Linked DNA regions of Lytechinus pictus. The protein of the gene in region 1 purifies or fractionates together with the protein of each later gene. This does not show direct contact. Links are inferred from orthologs where the notes say so. Each region holds a gene or a part of one and is shown in the gene's direction. Other genes may lie near its edges.

The links.
Region 2: the proteins of myotubularin-related protein 9-like (region 1) and ATPase inhibitor A, mitochondrial-like purify together in Homo sapiens (affinity purification with mass spectrometry; 5 studies listed by BioGRID and IntAct, with this or other methods). This does not show direct contact. The link is inferred for Lytechinus pictus from reciprocal best matches to the Homo sapiens genes MTMR9 and ATP5IF1.

Annotation. Positions count from the first base shown.
Region 1 is NC_087253.1:7,994,899-8,006,089, forward strand, and holds the start of myotubularin-related protein 9-like, read left to right. Parts: upstream 1-5,831; 5' UTR 5,832-5,846; coding exon 5,847-5,862; intron 5,863-7,812; exon of another isoform or gene 7,813-8,156; coding exon of another isoform or gene 8,157-8,172; intron 8,173-11,191. UniProt on the Homo sapiens protein: Acts as an adapter for myotubularin-related phosphatases. Increases lipid phosphatase MTMR6 catalytic activity, specifically towards phosphatidylinositol 3,5-bisphosphate and MTMR6 binding affinity for phosphorylated phosphatidylinositols.
Region 2 is NC_087245.1:28,598,143-28,609,701, reverse strand, and holds the start of ATPase inhibitor A, mitochondrial-like, read left to right. Parts: upstream 1-7,220; 5' UTR 7,221-7,299; coding exon 7,300-7,355; intron 7,356-11,559.

The DNA of each region.
Region 1 (11,191 bases):
TTTCAATTGGAATTTTGTGATTGGGCACAATTTAGCAGCTCTAGCACACATTAACTGTTGAATGTGCAATATGCTATGTCTAATGAAGGGCAGAGGCTGTCGGATGGTGGTGGGACTACATGTAGGCCGCTAAACATGGCGGTACATTTGAAGATTTTATGAAATATTGAGGTAACAGGTGAAAATAATTATAAACATTGCAATTAAAATATATTCGATAATTGATGAAAATTTCGAGCAGGTTACTCTATTATAAAGAGGAGACCTATTAAAGGACAAGTCCACCCCAACAAAAAGTTGATTTGAAAAAAAAGGAGAAAATCCAACAAGCAAAACTCTGAAAATTTCATAAAAATCGGATGTAAAATAAGAAAGTTATGGCAGACTGATGACGTCACCCACTCACTATTTCTTTTGTATTTTATTATATGAAATATTCTAATTTTCTCCTCCTTGTCAAGTGAAACGAAGTTTCATTTCTCCCTGAACATGTTTGAACCATTTTAGCCATTGTTTTAACAGTTTATGGTTAAGTTAAGTTGGTCCTTCTTGTCAAATCTGTAAAAATTGAAATATTGTATTATTCAAACAATAAAAAACAAAAGAAATAGTGAGTGATGGACATAATCGACTCTCTCATTTGCATATCACTGATTTGTGCATTTAACTGTTTTGTGAAAAATAAGCGAAACTTAAAGATAAATTCCAGTTTTGGTAACGATCTAAAAATGACTTTTTACAGAATCTAATATAATGACCACCTAAGTGTCTGTTTGTATGAATAAAAAATATGTGCCAAAGGATTCTGGAAGAAATTGTGTAATTGCTGAGAAATAAGCAAAATAAGCGCGGATTCGGTCACTTCCGTCGGGTCTTTATTTTAGCAATAATAATACACTGTCCCACGTGTGCCTATCTGTGTTGGTGATCTTCAGTGTGAACATTTTTCAGCGTAGATTTCAAGATTTCACAAAGTTCAGTTTATGTAACTGTACCAGATCTAGATCCTCGATGATATACTGACAATTAAGCCTTGTTTTACAGACTTTCTCATGAAATCAGTGTTTACTGCAAATACTGGAATTTCTCTTTAAAATGTCATAACTTTCTTATTTTACATCCGATTTCGATGAAATTTGCAGCGTTATGTTTGTTTGATTTTTCTCTATCGATTCAAATCAACAATTTTCTGGGGTGGACTTGACCTTTAAAGATGCTCATATTCAAACATCTAACGTTGACCACTTTATCAAACTGTCAAGGGGGGGGGGGCATTTTTTACTTGCCGTACGGCCGCCATAGAGGAAATGTGACTGCAGCATTAGGTATTTTTGATTGATTATTAAGCCCTAAATAATAATGAGAGAGAGCCAGCTGTGACATGTGTACTTAAGGGAAAGAACATTGATTTAATATCAGTGTGTAAACACAAGCTGATGCTGTGGCAATAGGGATGTGTTTAAACCTAGATCCTGTTCAGTGACAAGCAGTGTACATGTACGTACATGTATATGTACATGTAGGTACGTTTTAAAGATTGATTTTTAAAATAAAAATACAGGACGATGATATAAGCAATGTTCAGACAAGTGCCCTACTGCCCTGCATACATAATTGTATGCTACAGCTGATGCTGTATAATTAGCAGAAAGACGTGTTCAGACCAGTGTTATTTTTTAGTGAAAATGATATTGATTTGAATATAATGTGTAAGCAACAGCTGATAATATAGGTACAGGTAGGTGTTCAGACCAGTCCTGTGTAACGAGTGTAAAAGATGTTTCTGTTCAGATCAGTGCTGTAATATGTTGATTAAATTATAATAAAAATAGCTGCTGCTGATATACCATTACATGTTCAGACCAACCCATAATTTCTCTTCCTTGAGGGAGGTTCACATTATACAAGCTATGCTTTTGAGTGAATCTCCCATTTCCACAGATACCATTTTTGCTATTTAGATTATATATTATAATTTGTCTACAAAATGCACCATATTTTATATATTGTATGTTAATTATCATTGATGTTTTTGGATATAATTCTAATGACAATGATTTGTATCGTAAATATTTGTTATAAATGTATGAAAATGATTTGTATCAATATTTATGTCATTTCTGTTGGAAATAAATCTGAAATTTCTTTTTTATTCCAATGCGTAAACACTGGCCAGTATACATGTATGAGGACCATGTTTTCTTCGACCCAATCAAACTACAAATGTCACTATCAGTTGTAATTTTTAAAGGAAAATGTGTATATATAATTCTAACCAAAACTTTTAAATAATTTATGCATTCTATGAATAATTTTTTGTCTTATTTTGTTGAATCATCAATTGAAAATGAAAGAATAAACTTTCAAAGACTTTTATAGAAATGAATGAACTTTCCCTGAGAAATCAAATGCTCAGTCACTTACAACCTTGAATACATTAAAAGGAAGATTCCTATTTTTGAATGAATAATATTTTATATTTAAAACAAAATGATGGAGATAATACTGTAAAATAATAATAAGAGTTTTGAATAGGAAGTACGGGAGGGGGAAAAACACAGAAAGCACTTGAGAACTATTTTCCCCAGTGCTAGAATAATGAAGGCCATGATCAGTGCATGTATGAGGCTGTTCTCACTACGTTCCTAAAACTAGTTTACTGGAAACTAGTTTAGTGGAAACTAGTTTAACGCGTAGTGAGAACGGTCGAAGCGGTCTTGGAAGCGATCTTCCAAACCAGTTTGGAAAACCACCTCGCGATGTAGTTTTCAAGATTGCTTTGCCTCGTTAAACTGGTTTTTTTAATAGCGTAAGTGAGGACACAACCGTTCTTCGGGAAGCAATCTTCGCACATTTGGAGCACGCTACTCCACACGACAGGTGTAGAATGCCTACATGCATGCTGCGGTTTCGAATTTCGCGCGAAACTTGTCACCCCACTGAGAGCGTTTCCATAGCAACAACAGCGCTTTACGTGAAGTGATTTTGAAAACCACTTTCGTGTGATCAAGTGGGAACGCTAGCAAAGCGATCTTCCAAAGTGGTTTCCTGAATCGGTTTCAAGTAAACTAGTTTTAGAAAGCGTAATGAGAACGGCCTCTACAGTATGTCTGTCTACATGCAATCATTTGAATGCTATGTTGGAGAAAGACGTTAATATTGATTTTATCCTTTATATTGATTTTGACTCATCCTTTAGGTACAATGAATGATTTATTTTGACCTTTCACCCTGGAACATGGTGTATTTCTCTGGCTCATTGATGATCATTCTATTGTTGGCTCTGTTTCATGTCTGGATCCATTGATTCTTTTCTGTGTTTTTTTTGTTTATTTTTAAAATGATTTGATGGATTGAGTATCGGTACTTGTTCTGTGGAAGATGGAAGAGTGTTATGGGGAATTTGATCATATAGTTTTGTAGATTACATGTATGTCATGGGTTACCCGCGTGCCAATTTTTGTCGTGATCGCGTGATTGACGGCCGAGATCATAGGGGGCGGGGGCTAAATAAAAAAGGGATTATTTTCCCTCCATAGCCTACAAGGATAACTTATTCCATCAATGTTATCACAGCAATTAAAACGACTGGTTAATCTTTAAGAAAGAGTGTAATTTATACATTTATCTACAAATAATTGTGAAACTTTGCTATACTCCCAGCCCCTCTTCAAGTAACAGGGTTGTTTGATTTAAATCATGTCGATTTAAATCATGATTTAAATCGCGATTTAAATCAGTTGATTTTTTTTCAAAACAATCACTGATTAAAATCAACTTTTATGAAAATTTTTTTTCTCTATTGTATATATATATATGAAACAGATACTTTCAATGTAATCATTTTCATTTCTGTTCCACATGCTTTAGAGATACTTTAAAAGAATGATACACCCTCATGGAGTCTGATTTAACACCACTGTTTTATTTTCAAATTGTAAAACAAGCAAAACTGATGAAAACAACAAGTTTCTAACGAAGTAATGATAAATAACTCTCTGTATGTACACCAAAAAATTTAATCTTCAATAAAATAATATATAAAATCTACAAAGGTGGTCAAAGTCCACAACTTGGATACTTTTACAAAACAGCTGAACTACTTGTATGTACCTCCTTCTTGTTACTATTAATACCCATTCTTTCAATAATAAGTTGAAGGCATATGTGTACATTTGATAAGAATTACATGTATATTTGCATGCTTGTGTATTTTCTTATCAATACCCATACATTCAATTACACAATTTCAAAGTACACATGTATACTTAATAAGTAAGAATTTAAAAATGGGAAAGTTGCTTGGCAAGTGTTACTGTATGCAGCAATACAACTGCTGTGCTTGCTTGTTCATGTAATAGTTTGAAAAAAAAACAGCACATCAATGATGTGGTGGACAGTGGTGCTTATCCTGCATCTTGCAACGAAATTTATTGAAGTATTATTTGGAACTGAGGTTACACTGTAATGAAAACATAAAATGTGTATTTTGTTACAAGCATATCAGGAAGTGCCTATTGCAAATCTGGTTAAATATTACATTCAAATTAGATGTTAACGTACAGTTGTGACTTGCGAATGCTTTGTATACCAGATGTAGCTCTAGAGTTGCAAACCCTATTTCTGTGGAAACAAGTCTTATATGATAAAGCTTTACAATGACTTAAAGGCATTGGTTAACATTGTGTTCAGTTTTAAAAATCTGAGTTGCATGTTCTCACGTGTATGCTAACATGTCTATGGGAATATAGAAATGAAACAGAGCAAAAAATGCTTTAAAGTGTTATCATTTAGAGAAGCACTCCAAAAAAGTAAAAAAAATAAAAAATAACCTGTATATAATAAAGTGGATTATTGTGTCAAATAGTACAATACACAATGTTCAAAAGACTACTTGACCACTATTATTGGTGTAAAACAGTTTAAATATAGTTTAAAACTTGTTAAGTGTGACCATTATTTTTCGTTGGAAAAAAAAAAAAAAAATCTGATTTAAATCATAAAAATCCGATTTAAATAAAAAAAAAATCTGATTTTTTTTTATTTAAAAAAAAAAAAAAAAAAAAATCAACAACCCTGAGTAAAATGCATCCATGCACTGTATAGTTGAAAAGAAGCCAGAAACTTTACTGATAAAGACTGTACATTTTCTTTGATTCTAGATTTCAATTTCCCCCATGTAATCCACAGATTCAAAGAAAAAAATAAGGTCACTGGTAACTTTGTACATCCAACATACATGTACAAATCACATTTGTAGATTTTTTTGTCAATGCATGTGCCCTACCCATTTTTATAAATCACCCAAATTGAGATTCTCACTTAAAGATTTTAATTCCATGTGTAAACTGTCTAAACATTTTTGATTATCATCTCTCGACCTCTTCTCGTACAATTAGCTCATTACATGGATGAACTGTTGAAACTGATTTAATCATCATCTCTCAACCTCTATGACACTGTCTGAACACAATCACCTTTCCACAGGTGCTTTAGACATATTGACACATGTACATGTATGTAAATGTAACCAGCAGGGAGTTGGGAGTTTATTCTGAACTACACTGTTGGAATGAAGACAAATGAAGATGATTAAAATTAATCATCACTTGCGTGTATGTACATAAATCTATAATTGCCAGCTGTCTGAACACTCCCTGTAAACATGATCTGCTGCACCATGAGTAAACCGTCTAAACACACTGCCCTCGGGAGGCTTGTCTTGCAGACTGTGCACACATTAACATCAAGCCTCCTTCTTGAATTATAGGGATTCTATCTTTTTATCGTAGAGGAGACCGTGTTTGACGGTCAAAATATGGGATGTTTGTGCAATATGGTTAGGAATGGACAATGAAAAAGGTCAGTCGAATAAGGATTTTTGTAAAAATTTTATCTCAGTTTGTTTTATGTGGTCTCAATATTTATGTTTAGCAGCCTGAAGAAGCTACCTTGTCTGTGATGAGAATTAAGAAATTTCATCTTCACCTGATCTCATTTTGTTAAGGATTGATATATTTTCTTTGATTTTGATGGATTTCATATGTATACATGTAGTTATCATTATTGTTTTTTTATGATTGTTTGCTTTTGCCTTTTCTCCCTTATTGAACAAGTTTTGTTCTTGAATCGATAAAATGCATCCATACTCATCCATCCATCCATCCATATTGTTGGATCACCTGTTGTTTCATCCTTAGGGAGGTTTAATGTCACATGTCGTGTGATGCATGGGATTCGATGCCAGATAGGAAATTCATACTGGGTAATTATATGACACGGTCGTCAACTTTTATTGAATGAATATTACATGTAGGCTCCATAGTGTACAGGGGCCTACAGTGCATTCATGCTACATAATAAATGTCACACGAGGCATGACATTAAGTATGCCAACATTTAATTGTGTGCATGAAGTTCCTTTTCGTCAGAATATCAGATGACATAAGAACTTGCAGTGGTGTGATGAGCCAAAAGTTTTGAGGGGGCTAGATATGACGTATCGCACCAAATTTATAAAAAGTTGGGAGCGAGCAAAGCAAGCTAGCAAAAATTTTAATATTTTGATTGCAAAAATTAAATTTTGTGATATTCAGAAAATATCACATTTCATCCTTCTCTTTTTTTCTTTTCTTTCCTTTTCTCTTTGTTTTCTTGATCATGAAAAAAATTGGGGAGAGGGGCAAGAGCCCCTCCCCCCCCCCATCTGTATGCCACTGATAACTCTGTGAATACATGGTACACAACACATGCAAAAAGGGTTTTAGTCTTTTTTTTGTAATTAAGATTAATAATGAACAATGATCTGTGGCATAGATTTCAGAGCTATCGAGCAATTCCATATATTATCAACCTTAATTTTGTATGTTGGACTCCCATTTTTTTTAGTCTTTCTTCACTTTATAAACTGCCCAAGTCATGGTCCTTTGAGAAATTACAGACTATCAAAAGAACAAAAAATCAGAGACAGAAAACTTCATGAAGGTCCCATTGGGGGTCGGATGTACATATTATCTGGAATTGCCCTGTTTGTATTTTGATTTGATTTGTTCTTTTTATTAAATTTTTTTATTTTTTTTCAGGGGGGGGGGGGGTAGGTGCATTGTAGGAGTGAGATTCAGTGACATTTCAAATTTCAAATACAAAGACAAAATTAAATTTAAACTGAGTCTTCAGTCATCTATGATCAGACTAATTGGTGTATTGTACAGCAGTAGTGTATTTTTGAGGAAACATCAATATTGATTTTTACATTATAAGAATATTAAAGTAAAAGGCAAAGCGCCTTTTTATTGTGATTCCTTGAATTCAGCATTAGCAAGTCATCTGCAAATCTGCAACCTTTGAGAGCAAAAACACAATTACCCCCACTGCCAGGAAAATCCAAATTAAATGAGAAATATGCCAGTAATATTTACATACTGTAGCCTATGTATTCACTTTCACTTTCAGTGTATTTTTCTATTATTTATTTTTAGTATTGTACAGTAATATAATACCCTGTGACAATAGGGTGTCTACATACATGTATATATCTACGGAGGCATTAGTTATAAATAGCGTTTAGTCATTTTGGCTTACATTGATGATCTCCCTCCCTTGCCCGTTTCATGTAGAATTTTTTTTTTGGAGGTACAATGTAATATTAGTTACTATTACCCTGTGGTGATGGGGTTTTCTATCCATGTGGAGGCGTTAGTCATAAATAGCTAACAATGATTTTCCTCTCTCCCTCTTCCAGTCTGTTTCTTTGCCCCCAGGAAGCGAGAAATTAACCAACATTTCTAGTCATCACAAATCCTTGCTAGAAATAGACCCAGTCACGGCCCGAATAGTATACAGACAATGATTGTAGCATCAATCACCCATGATTGTTCCTGATACTTTCTATTTCTAGTGCCTCCTCCTCTTCATTAGTTTACAAGAGCTTGTTTTCAGCACCTTCATATTTTACTTGGGTCTGGAATTATTATCTTTCTAGATGACAGCTTGGCCAGCGTTATGCATTGTTTGTATAATTGCTGTGCACTCTTTCCTGCTTTTGATCAAAGACACTGTGTTTAATGTCAGACTAACACTGTTTCCAGATGTTGTTTTTGGATTGTGTTAAATTCGAAGAAGATCTTATAAACGTTCTTAAATAATAAACTGTAGCAATGGAGCCTACATTTAGTGAGTATCTGTTGTTATTTTGACATCATGCCTATGTTTGTTTGTTGGGGTTGGGGTGGGGGGTTATTGCAACATTATGTAGTGCTTTGGTTTTTTTTGGGGAAAAATAGGTAGGTGATTTCTATATATTGTTTGTATATTTTAAAGTACTTACTTTATTGTAATGTACATGTACATGAAATTAACAATTGTTTTGCAGTATTTTTTTCAGCCTGAAGACCTTTAAAAAAAAAATCAAATTACATGTATACTTATTTTTAAGGCAAACTTGATGTCTTTTTGTCCAGACGTATAGAATAGAATCACATCTATAAAACATTATCCATGATAATTTCTTCTGTGCTTGTTTGTGAAGAAGAAAGTGCTTACAACGCTTGCTATGTATTATGCGGAATTAGTTTTGAGAGGGTTTTTTCTCTGTATCAATTGTTCAAATCACTGCCGCAGCACTAATGAGGTGTTGTAGCTCAGTGGATAACTCTCCAGACTTTGAACAAGAAGGTCCGGGGTTCGATTTCAATGCAGCACTCCCGTCCTTTGGCAAGGTGTTTGCCACTCTCCACCCAGGTGTATTAATGGGTGCCTATTAGGGAGAAATTCCTTGAATGCTTGAATGTGAAGTAGTGTTACTTGTTATTGGGGATAGACCAGGGCCCCGTCTTACAAAGAGTTGCAATTGATCCGATCAATCGCAACTATGGAAAGCCAGCAAAGTCAACATATAAAATGCATGTTTGTTCAAAAAAAAATTATAGATATGAATGTATATCCATAAATTCATTGATATCTTGACAATTTGGTATGATCTCCTTTGTTTACAAAGGACATTTTGCAAATTTCCTGTAGAAAAAATTATGACACTGATGGATTTCCATAGAGTTACGATTGATTGGATCAATCGTAACTCTTTGTAAGACGGGGCCCAGTTTTACCTGCTTATTCACACACTCTTATTCCTCCAATAATTCTTTCCCGTAGGACATTCCCCTTGCCTCTTCTCTTTTATCCTCTTTACTTTGTTCACTGCCTTCAAGTCCCTTCTTCCGTACATTCTGCATTTTTCACTTTCATATCTTGTCTTCGATCTGGATCCTCTGGCCCGTATTCTGAAGTCGGGTTTAAAGTTGTGGTTTAAGTATGGACAGCCAATTGTTACATAAATCACTAACGGTAGAGATATCATATTCAGCTCATACGGCTCCCAAATAATAATAATAATAATAATAATAACATTTGTAGGGCGCTTTATACTGGTGTTTCAAAGCGCACAGGTTGGCAGATTATAATAGTATACAGTCAATCGGTCAAAAAAAAAAAAAAAAAAAAAAAAAAAAAAAAAAAAAAAAAAAAAAAAAAGTTAAGTTATGAGAAAAGGTGAGCTTTAAGTGACGATTTGAAAATTTCTACGGAGGGAGCATTTTGGATATGAATTGGGAGTTTATTCCAGAGGGTGGGAGCAATTACAGAAAATGCACGATCACCATATCGGGTCTTAGTGCGAGGGCCATGAATTAAATTATTGGAATATGATGAACGTAAGGATCTGACAGATGAGGAAGAACGAAGGGAAATAAGGTCTTGGAGATATTTGGGTGACATATTATGGGTAATTTTGTATACAATGAGTAGAATTTTGAACGTTATGCGAGAGTGAACCGGAAGCCAATGAAGTGATCGGAGAATAGGGGTGATGTGTTCGTGTTTCTTGCTCAAGGTTACCATTCTCGCTGCAGTGTTGAGGATTCGCTGGAGGGGAGAGATGGAAGAAATTGGGAGGCCGGCAAAGAGGGAGTTGCAATAGTCTAGATGGGATGAGACGAAGGCATGAATGAGTTTTTCAGTAGAGGCTTGGTCGAGTAGTCGCCTGACCTTACCAATCCTAAATAAACCCCATGATGCTGATTTGCAGATGTTCCTGATATGTGGCTGGAGGGTAAGGTGCTTGTCTAAAGTGACACCAAGGTCTTTGACAGAGTCAGACATCTTAAGTATGCCCTCTCCCATATTGAAGTCTGGCAGAGGCTCCGTAGCTCTAAATTGCGAAGAAAGATGTACCAGTTCTGATTTGGCTTCGTTGAGACGGAGTCTGTTCTTCGCTGACCAGACCTTGATGTCCTTGAGGCAGTCACTCAGTAGATTAACAGCATATGTCTTCTGGTCGGATGCCATGGATACGTAGATTTGCGTGTCATCTGCATACATGGCATAACTCACACCCCGATGGCTAGTGATAATTTTTGCAAGAGGACCAGTGTACAGAAGAAATAGGAGAGGGCCCACAACAGAACCTTGGGGGACTCCGCAGCTCAAAGCGAAAGGTGCTGAGAAAGTTCCATTGATAATCACCCGCTGAGTACGATCTTGCAGGTATGACTCAATCCAATTTTGAGCCGTTCCGGTAATGGAGTAGTCATGTGCAAGACGCTGGAGCAACACTGAGTGGTCTAAAGTGTCAAACGCCGCAGAATAGTCCAGTAGAAGGAGTGCAGCTTCGTTACCCTTGTCGACGGTAAGCAGTAGATCGTTGAGTACTTTCAAGAGAGCCGTTTCTGTTGAATGAAAGTTGCGATATGCTGACTGCTTCTCAGGAAGTAAATGATGACTGTCCACATAGCACATGAGCTGGGATGCGACGATTCTCTCCAAAACCTTGCTAACAAATGGCAGGTTGGCGATAGGGCGATAATTGCCAAAGTCATTCGGATCAAGATTGGGCTTTTTCAACAGAGGAAGAACTAGTGATGATTTGAATGATTCAGGGACAACACCTGTTGTGAGTGATGAATTGATAATGTTTATGAGAAGCGGTAGAAGTTCATCAATACAGTCTTTGAGCAACCAAGTTGGAAGAGGATCAAGACTGCAGAACTTCGGTGGTAATGACTTGATGAGATGGCGAAGTTGAACTTCAGTCACTGGAGTAAACTCACTCAGTTTGCAATTCAAAGAGCCCACAGGATGTTGTTGATCACTAGGAACGTCAGGTGCAAAAGAGGACACAATATCACTGATCCTCTTG
Region 2 (11,559 bases), on another chromosome or scaffold:
CTCTCAATTAAGCCAGGCGATTAAATTTGTTATAAGGCAGATAATGATAGGATATTTTGTGTGTTATTGATTGTAAAAACAAAGACCAGCATTGCCAAGAAATCCAGGAAAAATTGTGTACAAAATGTAGTATTTATATCAGATATGTAGGATATATGTAATAAATTGTGGATATTATAATAATGTATATCTATATCCTTCTTGTTGTCTATTATTACATGTATTTTGAAGGAAAGTGTGCAGGGGTCAATGCAATGTTTGTGAAGTTTTTTTATGAATTCAGAAAGAGAGGGAGAGGGAGGGAGAGAGAAAGAAAGAGAGAGGGAGAGAAAGAAAGAAATTTAAAAAAAGAAAGGAAGGAAGAAAGGAAGGATGAAAGATAGATAGATTGATTGGTTGATTGATTGATTGATTGATTGAAAAGTGTAATAGTTCTAAATGTATTGGTGTAATTTGTTATGGTGCAATCATGTAGACTACATACATTATGTAGAAAGATATTTGCAGGACATGCCATGCTCAGAAGAGTCAAACCATATGTTGATGAAGCATCTATGAAATTATTATATTTATGTCTCTTGCATTCAAACACAAATTGGATAACTGTTGTGAAATTTGGGGGAATAGATATTTAGGTCAAATTGATAAGTTGACTAATATAAGTTGCAAAAGAGAGCAGCGGCGAGACTCGTTTTAAACTAAAATATATACCCCTCTAATGAATATTTGCTCATATAAGATTAATGCCTTTTAAGAAAAGAATAGTAGGTGAATATTTATTTATAAATGTCTTAATGACTTATCAGCAGATTGTTTAAAAAATGTACTTGTCTAAAGTTCATAATTTAAATACTCGACAAAGTTAATGCGCTACAAGCGCAGGGGACTGTTGGACTGACGCTTGTCGGGGAAATGACAAATTTTTGGGTCACGTACGCAGGGTGCTATTCGAAGTGTTCCATGTACCTTGTTCTTACTCGGTCTTTGTGTCAGCAAAAATGTTTGGTCGTTTTCCATACATTCCTCCTATTTCAGAAATTCCAGGGGTGCTGCCTATGGAAAATAAATAATACATGCAGCACCCCCTAGGAAAATCTTGGGGGAGTGCTTCAGCAGCACCCCCTTTTTCCCAGCCTGAGGGCCTTGTCGCGCGACTGGGACTCCTGCCGATGACTCTTAATTTATTTCTTTTCTTTTAAGTTTTCTATAGGTTAAATGTGATTAGTTAAGCAAAATAAGAACCCATAAAAACCTAGATCTCTTCCCAATCACCGATTTTGGATTTACATACTGCACCAACAAATATTAATCGTTTTCGTTATCGATTTTTGAACAGGTTACTTCATATGTAAGGAGGCGGTTATTGCGCTTGGATGCAAACTAACATTACCAGACCCCATATTTAGTAAAACATTTTACATTATCAACGATATTATTAATACCCAGGACCAAAATCCAGTTGAAACCAATTAGAGCAAAACCAATTGAAACCAGTTGGCCAACTGGTTTCAATAGGGAAATTGGAACAACTGGAACCAATTGAAACCAGTTGCCAACTGGTTCCAGTTAAAACCAATTGGGCAACTGGAACCAGTTGGCAATTGGTTTCAATTGGTTCCAGTTGAAAACAATTAAGCAACCAGTTGGCAACTGGTTTCAATTGGTTCCAGTTGTTCCAATTTCCCTATTAAAACCAGTTGAAACCAATTGGAGGCAACTGGTTTCAACTGGAACCAATTGAAACTAATTGGTTTCCTACTGGATCCAATTGGAACTTCCAGTTGGAATGACTTAATTAGTTACAAATTAATTAGATTTTGCAAAACCTATTGCTCATGCCAACAAAGAAGCAGTGCTAGATGTCTATAATACCAATGTAAAGGGCATTGATAAATAAACTCTCATAATGTATATATTTTTACATGAAAGATCTTCAAATATATGTATTTGTATTTGATGTAATTTGGTAACAGTTAGTGGTGTACTAATTATCTTAAAATCTGTTTTAATTATAATCTATACCATTTATGAACATGGTTTTCACTGCTAAGCATTCTAAACACTTATCTGAAACAAGTATGGTACTTGAAATAGAAAAGAATTAAATAGATACATTTTAAATGATGATGAATCACATAAAACATTAATCTGTGCACACTGGCAGATAATATGCAAATTAACTGGTTTCAATTGGAACCAGTTGGGTAACTGGAAAATTTCCAATTGGAAACCAATTGGAAGTCATTTCCAGTTACCCAACTGGATCCAGTTAGGATTTCCAGTTACCAACTGGTTCCAGTTAGGATTTCCAGTTACCCAACTGGTTCCAGTTAGGATTTCCAGTTACCCAACTGGTTCCAGACTTTAGAAATCATTTCCAGTTGGAAGTAATTTCCAGTTACCCAACTGGTTCCAGTTAGGATTTCCAGTTACCCAACTGGTTCCAGTTAGACATCATTTCCAGTTGGAAGTCATTTCCAGTTACCCAACTGGTTCCAGTTAGGATTTCCAGTTACCCAACTGGTTCCAGTTAGAAATCATTTCCAGTTGGAAGTCATTTCCAGTTACCCAACTGGTTCCAGTTAGGATTTCCAGTTGCCCAACGGGTTCCAGTTAGGATTTCCAGTTGCCCAACTGGTTTCAATTGGTTTCAACTGGAAATTGTTATATTCCAGTTAAAACCAATTGAAACCAGTTGAAACCAATTGAAACCAATTGAAACCAGTTGGAAATCCAACTGGTTTCAATTGGATTTTGGTCCTGGGTAGTTTCTTAACTTATTCTGATGATCTCATTTGTGACATTGTTTTTTTTTTTTTTTTAACTCCCTCCGGCCCTCCAAGTCACTCACGGCTTTTTCAAGTTTACACTAGATTTAACTGGACTTAGAAATTACGCTTTCAGCGAATCAGTGACTGTATGGAATATATTAAAAAAATCATGAATTATAATGCTCTTCAAAATATTTGCCGGGGAAAAGCAAATTCTGTAATTCGGAACAACATGTGAGCCATAATATACTTGGCATCTTCATTCAACGCTTTTATCACATAGATACGATATCATATCACAGAGATACGATCTTACGTATACGTAAGCTCCCGAAGGGAGCTAGAGAGGGAACTCTTTCCGCGCGTTTTTATTTCCCATAGGTTTTGTACATAGCCAACATGGCTGCCGGCGGACAATTTGAAGGATGATTTTGGAGGGTCAATGTTTTATTCATGAGAATGACGTCAAAATACGCATAATGCACTTGTATGATTGGATTAAACGCTAATGTTTTATTCATGTACTCATGCATTAAACATTTTTTTCCGTCCCACAATTCCCTACGATATCTGTGCGAAGTGTCGTTCTTTTGGACTCTGCGAATTTGAAGTTTCTGAAACGAAATAGCTAGACTAATTATCTGTTTATATAATTGATGTTCGAAATCATGGTTTCTGAGTGAACTTCATTGGAGCGGAAAATCTTGGAGGGAACATCAATACTATTCTAATGACATTCCATAGGAATAAAAGTAAGTTACGCTCATTTTCATGTTTTGATCTCACTTGCAAATTGTAATGTGTTTGCCGGGGTTCGGGGCTCATCCTGTATTACGCACTACGGTATGTAAACCTCAATTTCAATATATTTCTTTTGCCTGACTTCCAAATAAGTGTGATCATTGAGTTTCTCAAAAATACTATATCTAGGACTAGGGGTCTATAGTTTGTCGTAGATCTAGACATTCATCGGAATGCTTCATGTAGGTCCAAAGTAAACATTTATTTTAGTTTTATTGTGATTAGACAATTATCAGGGGTAGATGTGGACTTGTTTCCGACCTCCTGTTTTTTAGTAACGACAAACTGTCGATTTTAGGCCTATTCAAATTTAGGTCAATGTAGGGATATGGTCAGAGCGGGATCCGGCCTTTGATATCGCCGGTGCTAGCCGAGCGAGATTGTCGATGTAGTCATGGGGTATGAAAATAGCGGGGACGGACTAGGCCCAAACTTCAAGCTTGAAAGTTGAAGTTTAGGCCTAGTCCGTCCCCTCTATTTCATCTTCATATGAATAAGTATAATTCTCAGCAGTTTCTTTTATTCAGGAACGCTTTACTTCAGAATAATCAGTGTTGAAATACGATTGACTTAGCATTAATGTCTGTTATGTTAAGTGTTACTTGTCTTAGTCTTAGATTTGAATGAAATGGCGTAGCCTACCCTAGACCTAAATCAAGTCTATTTGAACAGGATACCCTGGGTCCGGCCTGGGGTGGTAATTTGAAAACGTTCTTAGTGTTTACTTCATTCAAATGTGATGTTATTCTTAAGTTATACAGGCCCAGCATAGACCAGATTCAGCTATATACAGCTGTAGAAATATGTGGTTGGAATCATTTTACTTTTATAAACAGAGTGAGGTAGGCCTATGCCTCTATGTGATAGAGAATGAAGTTTCGGGTCCAGATAACTTTTTTGTTCTAGTTTGGAATATTCATTCATAGACCTGGGATATGGGCAGCTGGAAATTTCAAAAATATTGTTTAAGAAGGGTAATTTTATTATCTCTAAAACTCTCAAATTTAAATTGTCAATTGCAGATCCAGTGGGACCAAGTTCTTAGCAGTTCACACCTAGTCAGAAGTACAAAATTGAGAACCATGCCGATTAGCAAGTGTTAGTTACAATCTAATGAGGAACAGGATATCTGAATGGAAAAATTGCAAGGTATGCTTACTGTTTTGATAATATACAGGCTGTATCTAAGCTCATCACCCCCCCCCCCCCCAAAAAAAAATAAATAAATAAATAAATAAATAAATGAATATTTCCCCTTTTTTGGGAGGGGGTGGGCTATGGCCAATTGTGCTGAAACATGATGCGATATCATGTAATGTTAAAGTTCCATTGTGAGTTAATATTTGTTTGAATTCAGATTCACCAGTATTTCCATTTCTAACACTGCATACTAATTATCCATATCTCCTGTCTATACATGCATTTGCATAAAAAACCCAAGATATTAACAGTTATCACAAAATTCTGATAAATATTTGAATTAATTTTCACTCTTTATTTTCAAAACATACTGTAGATAGTTATATTGATATATGAATTTATCTGGATGTGGGACGAAAGTGACTGCATGTGCTAAACTTGTTTTATCACTGAAGATATAAAATAGAGTTTACATCTTTTTTTTACTAAACTGGACTAGATGAGTAAAAATAATTTACAGCTTATTATGTTCTTTTCTCTTTTTTACCATGCAGGTTTCCCACTTCCTAAGCTGTTTAAGTACTGGTATCACAACATAAGTGCCAAGAAGAGATATGAAACGGTCTCAAAATTTTTGCTGGTGCCCCCCCGATGCCGTGACCTACGGTACGCCACTGCAAGTCTTCATAAATTATTTAGTTGCATTTATTGTTATCTTCATTTTAAAAAAATGTGAAATGGGCTACCACTGCAATAATATATAAATAGACTATATTTTAAAAATAGATTGAATTCTAAGCACAGTGACAGTAGACAAATCAAATTTTGTTAATGATTCACTAATGTATTGATTGGGGAAGGCACTCTTTAGGATTCTGGCATTGTGTCCCACCCCCCCCCCCCCTTATGAGGAGTGCTCTCACATCAGAAGACTATTTCTTGTCAGCAAATTTGAAAGGAATTTACCAATTTTTTTGAGTGATAAACTTTTGTGGAAGAAAATAAACGAATATCAAAGGTTTTTATGCTCTTTTATGGAATATTAACTATAGGCTCATCGAGATCCTTTGAATGAAATTTTAACAAACATTGTACAATGTAGAAAAATGTACTTAATCCTATTTTTGTACATTTATATACCCACCCCATACTACCCTTACCCAGTAACAGCCCTTTTTAGCTATGCATTGCCTTCATTTTTTAAAATACAATTTAATGCTTGGTAGATGCTAATTATTATTTTTATGTTAATGTCAATGTTTTAGAAAATGGATCCCTTAATAAACATGTTAATTTTGAATTGAATTTTTTGATCTTGGTAATTTTCATTTATCAATTAATTGTGATGATGTATTGCTTCTGAGCTGTTATGCACAAATGGCACAAGATGTTGCACTGTACTGGAATGTGATGATGCCACTGTTACATGAGATCAAACAGCAGTCAATTAAAATATTATTTAAGAAAAATAAGGATAAGAGTGGGAAAGAAAGTAAAATGACAGGATAATTATTTGCTTGTATGCATATAGCTATGTCAGTTTCTGAGAGAGAGACATACAGAAAGAGAGAGAGATGGGGGGGGGGTGAAAGTTCAGTTTGTTTTGAAAGAAGCAATTATAAGACCTTACTGTTCGTAACGGGGGGGGGGGGGGGCTAATTATTTCTCCAAATTTTTGAAACCTGCATATAAAATGTATTTTTTCTTTCCAAATGAAAATTACACCAGATTCATTTTCAGTTGAAAATAAAAAAGAAATAGCCTACGATCGGTTTGCTCTCTTGCCTATTTAATTTTGAGAACCCCCTCCCCCCTAAAATATAGTATATACCTAGGTCATGATTATTGATGTTTGACATAGAAGTCGCCATTTAAAATTAAGTGCTCCGAGGACTGCTATTCATAATAGGACTTATATTGGAGACTACAATTATGGAAAAGAATTTGATTTGTTATTATCTTTGTTTATATTATGAAAAGAGGTTCATTTCGTTTTCTGCAATAAAAAGAAAAAAGGGCTCCAGAAACTTAAAGAGATTTCATCGTATATGGCAACATTTTCTTTGGGAACCTCCTCTGTAATATTTTTTAGCAAAGATCCTGGCCATTTGCAGCTAAAACAAAGCAAAGATGCAGTAATAATCGTAACAAGCAATAACAAATAGATCATTAAAATAGATGAATAATAAAACTCTGAGGAGGAAAAAAACGAATGATCTGACATGATGTAATCACTGACAGACACCATAAACGATATTAATCAGGTCGCGCATTATGCTAATTAGTGACAAAATACTAATTTACATATTTTTACGCTATGCGCGAAGGACGTTCCGTGACCACGCCTTCATTTCGCTGGTGTACCAAAACAGTGGCGGTGTCCATAGGCTTGTATACGAAAAATGGGAGCAGTGTGCACTTTTGACCCTCCAAAATTTTCTTCAATTCTGACCGGATGCAGAAGCGGAGTTTCACCCCCCTGTATCATATCTGGTATAGCGCCATCTTCAGCTTGAATCGGAAAAGTCCGAATTGAGAAAGAAAAATTATTCGACCATTTTTTGTTGGGACTATCTTGTAAACTGCAATGGCTTTAGCTCGTACATCTTTCCTAAAAGCTTGGCGACCAGTAATAGCAGTCAGGTTTGTATCTATTGTAGTTAACATGTAACGGTATTTGCAATTTTAACCAAGAATTAACCTCTCTGGCTATGTTTTCGTGCGTGTGTCCTGGATGATCATGATGTCGTCATGTTAATTGCTAAATCTAGTCCCATGTGCAGATATCTGAGTAATGTTTGGTTCTACTTATTTTCCGAAAAAAGTTTAACATTTCTCGAACAGAATGCCAGCATGTTGCATGTATTTGATTTTTTCAAACTTGGTGATTTGGAAGTCTATAAATAATAATGAGTAGCTAGAGCATCAAGGATGGCATATGATAGACAGCTGGCAGCTCCGCAGCTGTCTGTTTCAAGGAGTTTTTAACATTTTTATTTTTTTAATTCTCGTAGTCGTAGACGTACATGTAGTCGTACGTGTACAGTCACAGACTCTGACAGCTTGCAATCGTGCAACCGTCATCCGCCATGAGGGGGTTAACAATGCAAAATCCTACAGACCGGGCTTATCGATTTTTGTCTTTATTTCATAAAAATATATATAAAGAACTGGACCTAAATAAAGATTAGTATTTGGCCTATTCCGTTTTGGCCTTGAAAGTGAATTGCACCGAAACGGGAAAAAATAAACTTAATAAAAGAAAAAACAGTGACTTACTAAAAGAAAAAACAGTGACTTACTTTTGCTGTCCCCTAAATGAAATACGGGATGATCAACAAAGCACGATGCATGAGCGGATCGAAAAGAAGGCTACACAATGTTAGAAAATTTAAAAGAAAAGGTAGGGATATTGAAAGAAAGAATGAAGGAGAGAAAGAAAAGAGATGAATTGAGAGGGAAAAAAAATAAAAGGAAGAAAGTTAGACTGAAAGAAGGATGAAAGAAAGAATAAAAATGAGAGAAAAAAGGTTTCTGTCATTCTTCGAAATGAACAAAGAAAGAAAGAAAAAGAAAGGAAGGGAAGATGAGTGAAAGAAAAAATAAAGGAGAGAAAAGGAAAAAGTAAGTAAGAAAAAGGAATGAAGGAAAGAAAAAATGTTTCCTTCATTCTTTGAAAGAAAGAAAGAAAAACAGGAAGGAAGGAAAAGAAAGAAAGAATAGGGAAAAGAATTAGAAGGAAAAAATAAAATAAAGAATTAATTTAAAGGATTAAAAAGAGGGAAGAAAGAATGAAGGGAGGAGAGAATGAAAAAAGACAGAAAATAATGGAAGCAGAAAAAGAATGAAAAGAAGAGGAAGGGAGAAGGAAGGAAAAACAAATGTAAGGAAAGAAAGAATGAAAGAAATAAAAAAGGAAATTAGAAAAAAGGAAAGTAAGAGAAAGAAGGAAAGAAAGATAAATGAACAGAGGGATAGAAAGGATCAGGAAAGAAAGATTGAAAATAAAGATAGATGGAACAAAAAAGGCAAGCAGGAAGGATAGAAGGATGAAGAAAGAAGGATAGAAAAGAAAGAAAAAAAGAAAGGAAGGAAGGAAGGAAAAACCTTCAAACTTCAAGCAATCAAAAGATCTAATCATCTAACAAAAATCTTAATTATATTGGGTTTTTTAAATACATGTATATTTCAAACATTGTTAGAAAGCTAAAATGTTTTAGAAATGAATAAAATTTCAAATTAAACATTGTCAAACTTAAAAAATTAGATGAAACATCGCGGCATCACACACAGGCATCTCTCATTCAATTACAAGATCACAACAATACTCAAACGAAAGCTGAAACAACTAGATCTAGTTATGAAAACTCAACTTGCTCCTCCGATTACATCACTAAATATTAAAGTAATCTGAGAATCCATAATATAATTATAAAGATTTCCTGCTGATTTGTGATTATTTTGGTGGAAAAACTGTTTATCATGTGAGATTGTTTGCACCATTGAGAATCTGCTCCATTGATCGTACGCCTAGCTAGTAGCCTGCCACACAAAGGCAGGAGGCTACATGCAGACTTGTGTAGCAAGAAAATCACCGCAGAACATGCGAAAGTTTACAGTAATCAATTTTGTTGTCTCTGCTTAGTCATCTGTTGGTTATTTGCCAGTTATTTTATGAAAATTTTGTCACTTTCTATGTATTAATTATGTTTCGTTCAATATTCAGAAATACGGGACAAATAGGCGTCCCGGGAAGGGTTTATTGGGACGCCAGGACAAAGCAAAATACGGGACGATCCCGGGAAATAAGGGACGTCTGGCTGTCGCGCAACTCCCACTTCCTTGGTTTATCTGAACTTAATACATAAACATATGGCCATTGAGTCCCACTACAGTTCGAGTAGAACTTCGGTCTATGTAATTGGTGAGTGGAGCCAACAGAGTTCAGCGGAACAACCAATATAACAGAAGGCCGAAGATTTTGGTATAAGGATGACAATGCAATGACCCTTGAAAATAATTTTTTTTATTTTTAAACCAGAATTCAAAATCAGATCGTAGCCTGTATCGTTAGGCTACAGTAGGGACGTCTGCACCTGGAATTTCGACATGTGCCTCCAATCAACATGGCAAAGTTATTTCACAAGTTATGTATATACACGACACTATCACTCACCACTTGAAAGTTCTGCTTTCAACTCTAAAATCCCCTCTGACAAGTCAAAATTCATCATTAAAAATGTGGAATCTTAGCCATATTTCCAGAGCATGCGGCAGCTTAGTCAGGGTCACAGAAAACCGCACTAAGATTGAAGAAATCTGTTGTGTCATTCCGAGTTTGTGAATATTCTCGCAAATTTAAGATCGTATCTTCCAACAAGGCCGTCTTTCAACATGGGGTCTGAGCCTGATTTGGGAGCAAATGGCCGCTGCAACTTCATGTTGCATACTGTATGTGGTGAGGCGCATTGCACGGACGCTCTCACACATTGACTTTTGAACCCGCAATGTGCTATGCTGAACGAAGGGCAGGAGCTGTCAAATTGTGGCCACAAAACATGACAATACATATCCAGATCTCATTAAATATTAAGGTGTAAGGTGAAAATAAACATTGCAATTAAAATTTGACAAATTATATTCAACAAATATTGTTGCAAATTTCATTTATGAAAAGATGCTTTAGAACAAAAAATATTGCAGAAAAGCTTAACATGTTGAATTGTAGGCAGGTTACTCTAGATCTAGACCCTAGTTCTGTTTTCAAGTTCGTGATCAAATAAGGTGATTTAATTAATCAAAGACCCTCTAACTTTCAAGTATGTTGGGGGACTTATTACAGACTACCAGTTCTGCAAATATTAACATGATCAGGCATTCTGTGAGAAAACCACTTTTGAAGTAGGCTGTGAAGCTCACATGTATTGAGGATATTTATGTATTTCTTATTTGGCACAATTCCACTTAAAGATTAAATGCAAGCCTCAAGATCGGATTTAATTTGAAAACTAATTGCAGCTTAATGTAGAACAAAATAGGATTTGCAATAATCAGCTTGAAGTCACGATCTATGTTGAAATTACCCACAATTAAATGTGGATGTAAACTCTCTATTATTAAGGAATATTGAACACTTTCAGTTGAGGTGCTAGTCCAGAAACTGAGATTGGCCTTGTTTATGAGGACATTTTTTTTTCACTTCCCCTGCGGGACATAGACGGCAATTGCAGGGATTGAGAGTGCTAAAAATAGATCCATTCACCAACAAATCAGGTCCCCCCAGATCACCGTCTATTTTTTATGACTTGGACATCTTCCAATAATCTTGATAGGAAACCTCATGTGTTTATCTGACTAGCACACTCAAGTGATGTCGGCACTTGACAGGTGAATGAACTATTTGAAAGATTTCTTGTGTGGAGAAATCCTTGAATACTGGAGTGATCCTTATTTCTGACCAGCACCTCTACTATATTTATCATTTTTATGAACTTCAGATTGTCATGAATGACCTGACTGACAAGTTATTTAAAAATCAGCAATCCTTCAAATTTACTGACGACTAATACTGCAACACATGATCAGGCATTCTCTCTCAGGAAATCAATTTGCTGCAAAGCTCTTGTCTGTTGAATATGCTTCTTTGGGGCATTATACCTATTTTTGAATAATTTTAAAGTCAAATAATATATGGTTATGACTTCAATCAAATTTAGCTGAAAGCAGATCACAAATATAACTTTTAATCATTAGCTTAAAGTCACATGTTTTAGAATTGAAATGACAAATAATTGAAAAAAGTTGATGTGAACACACTTTAATGCTGTATGATTTAAGAAAATGTACC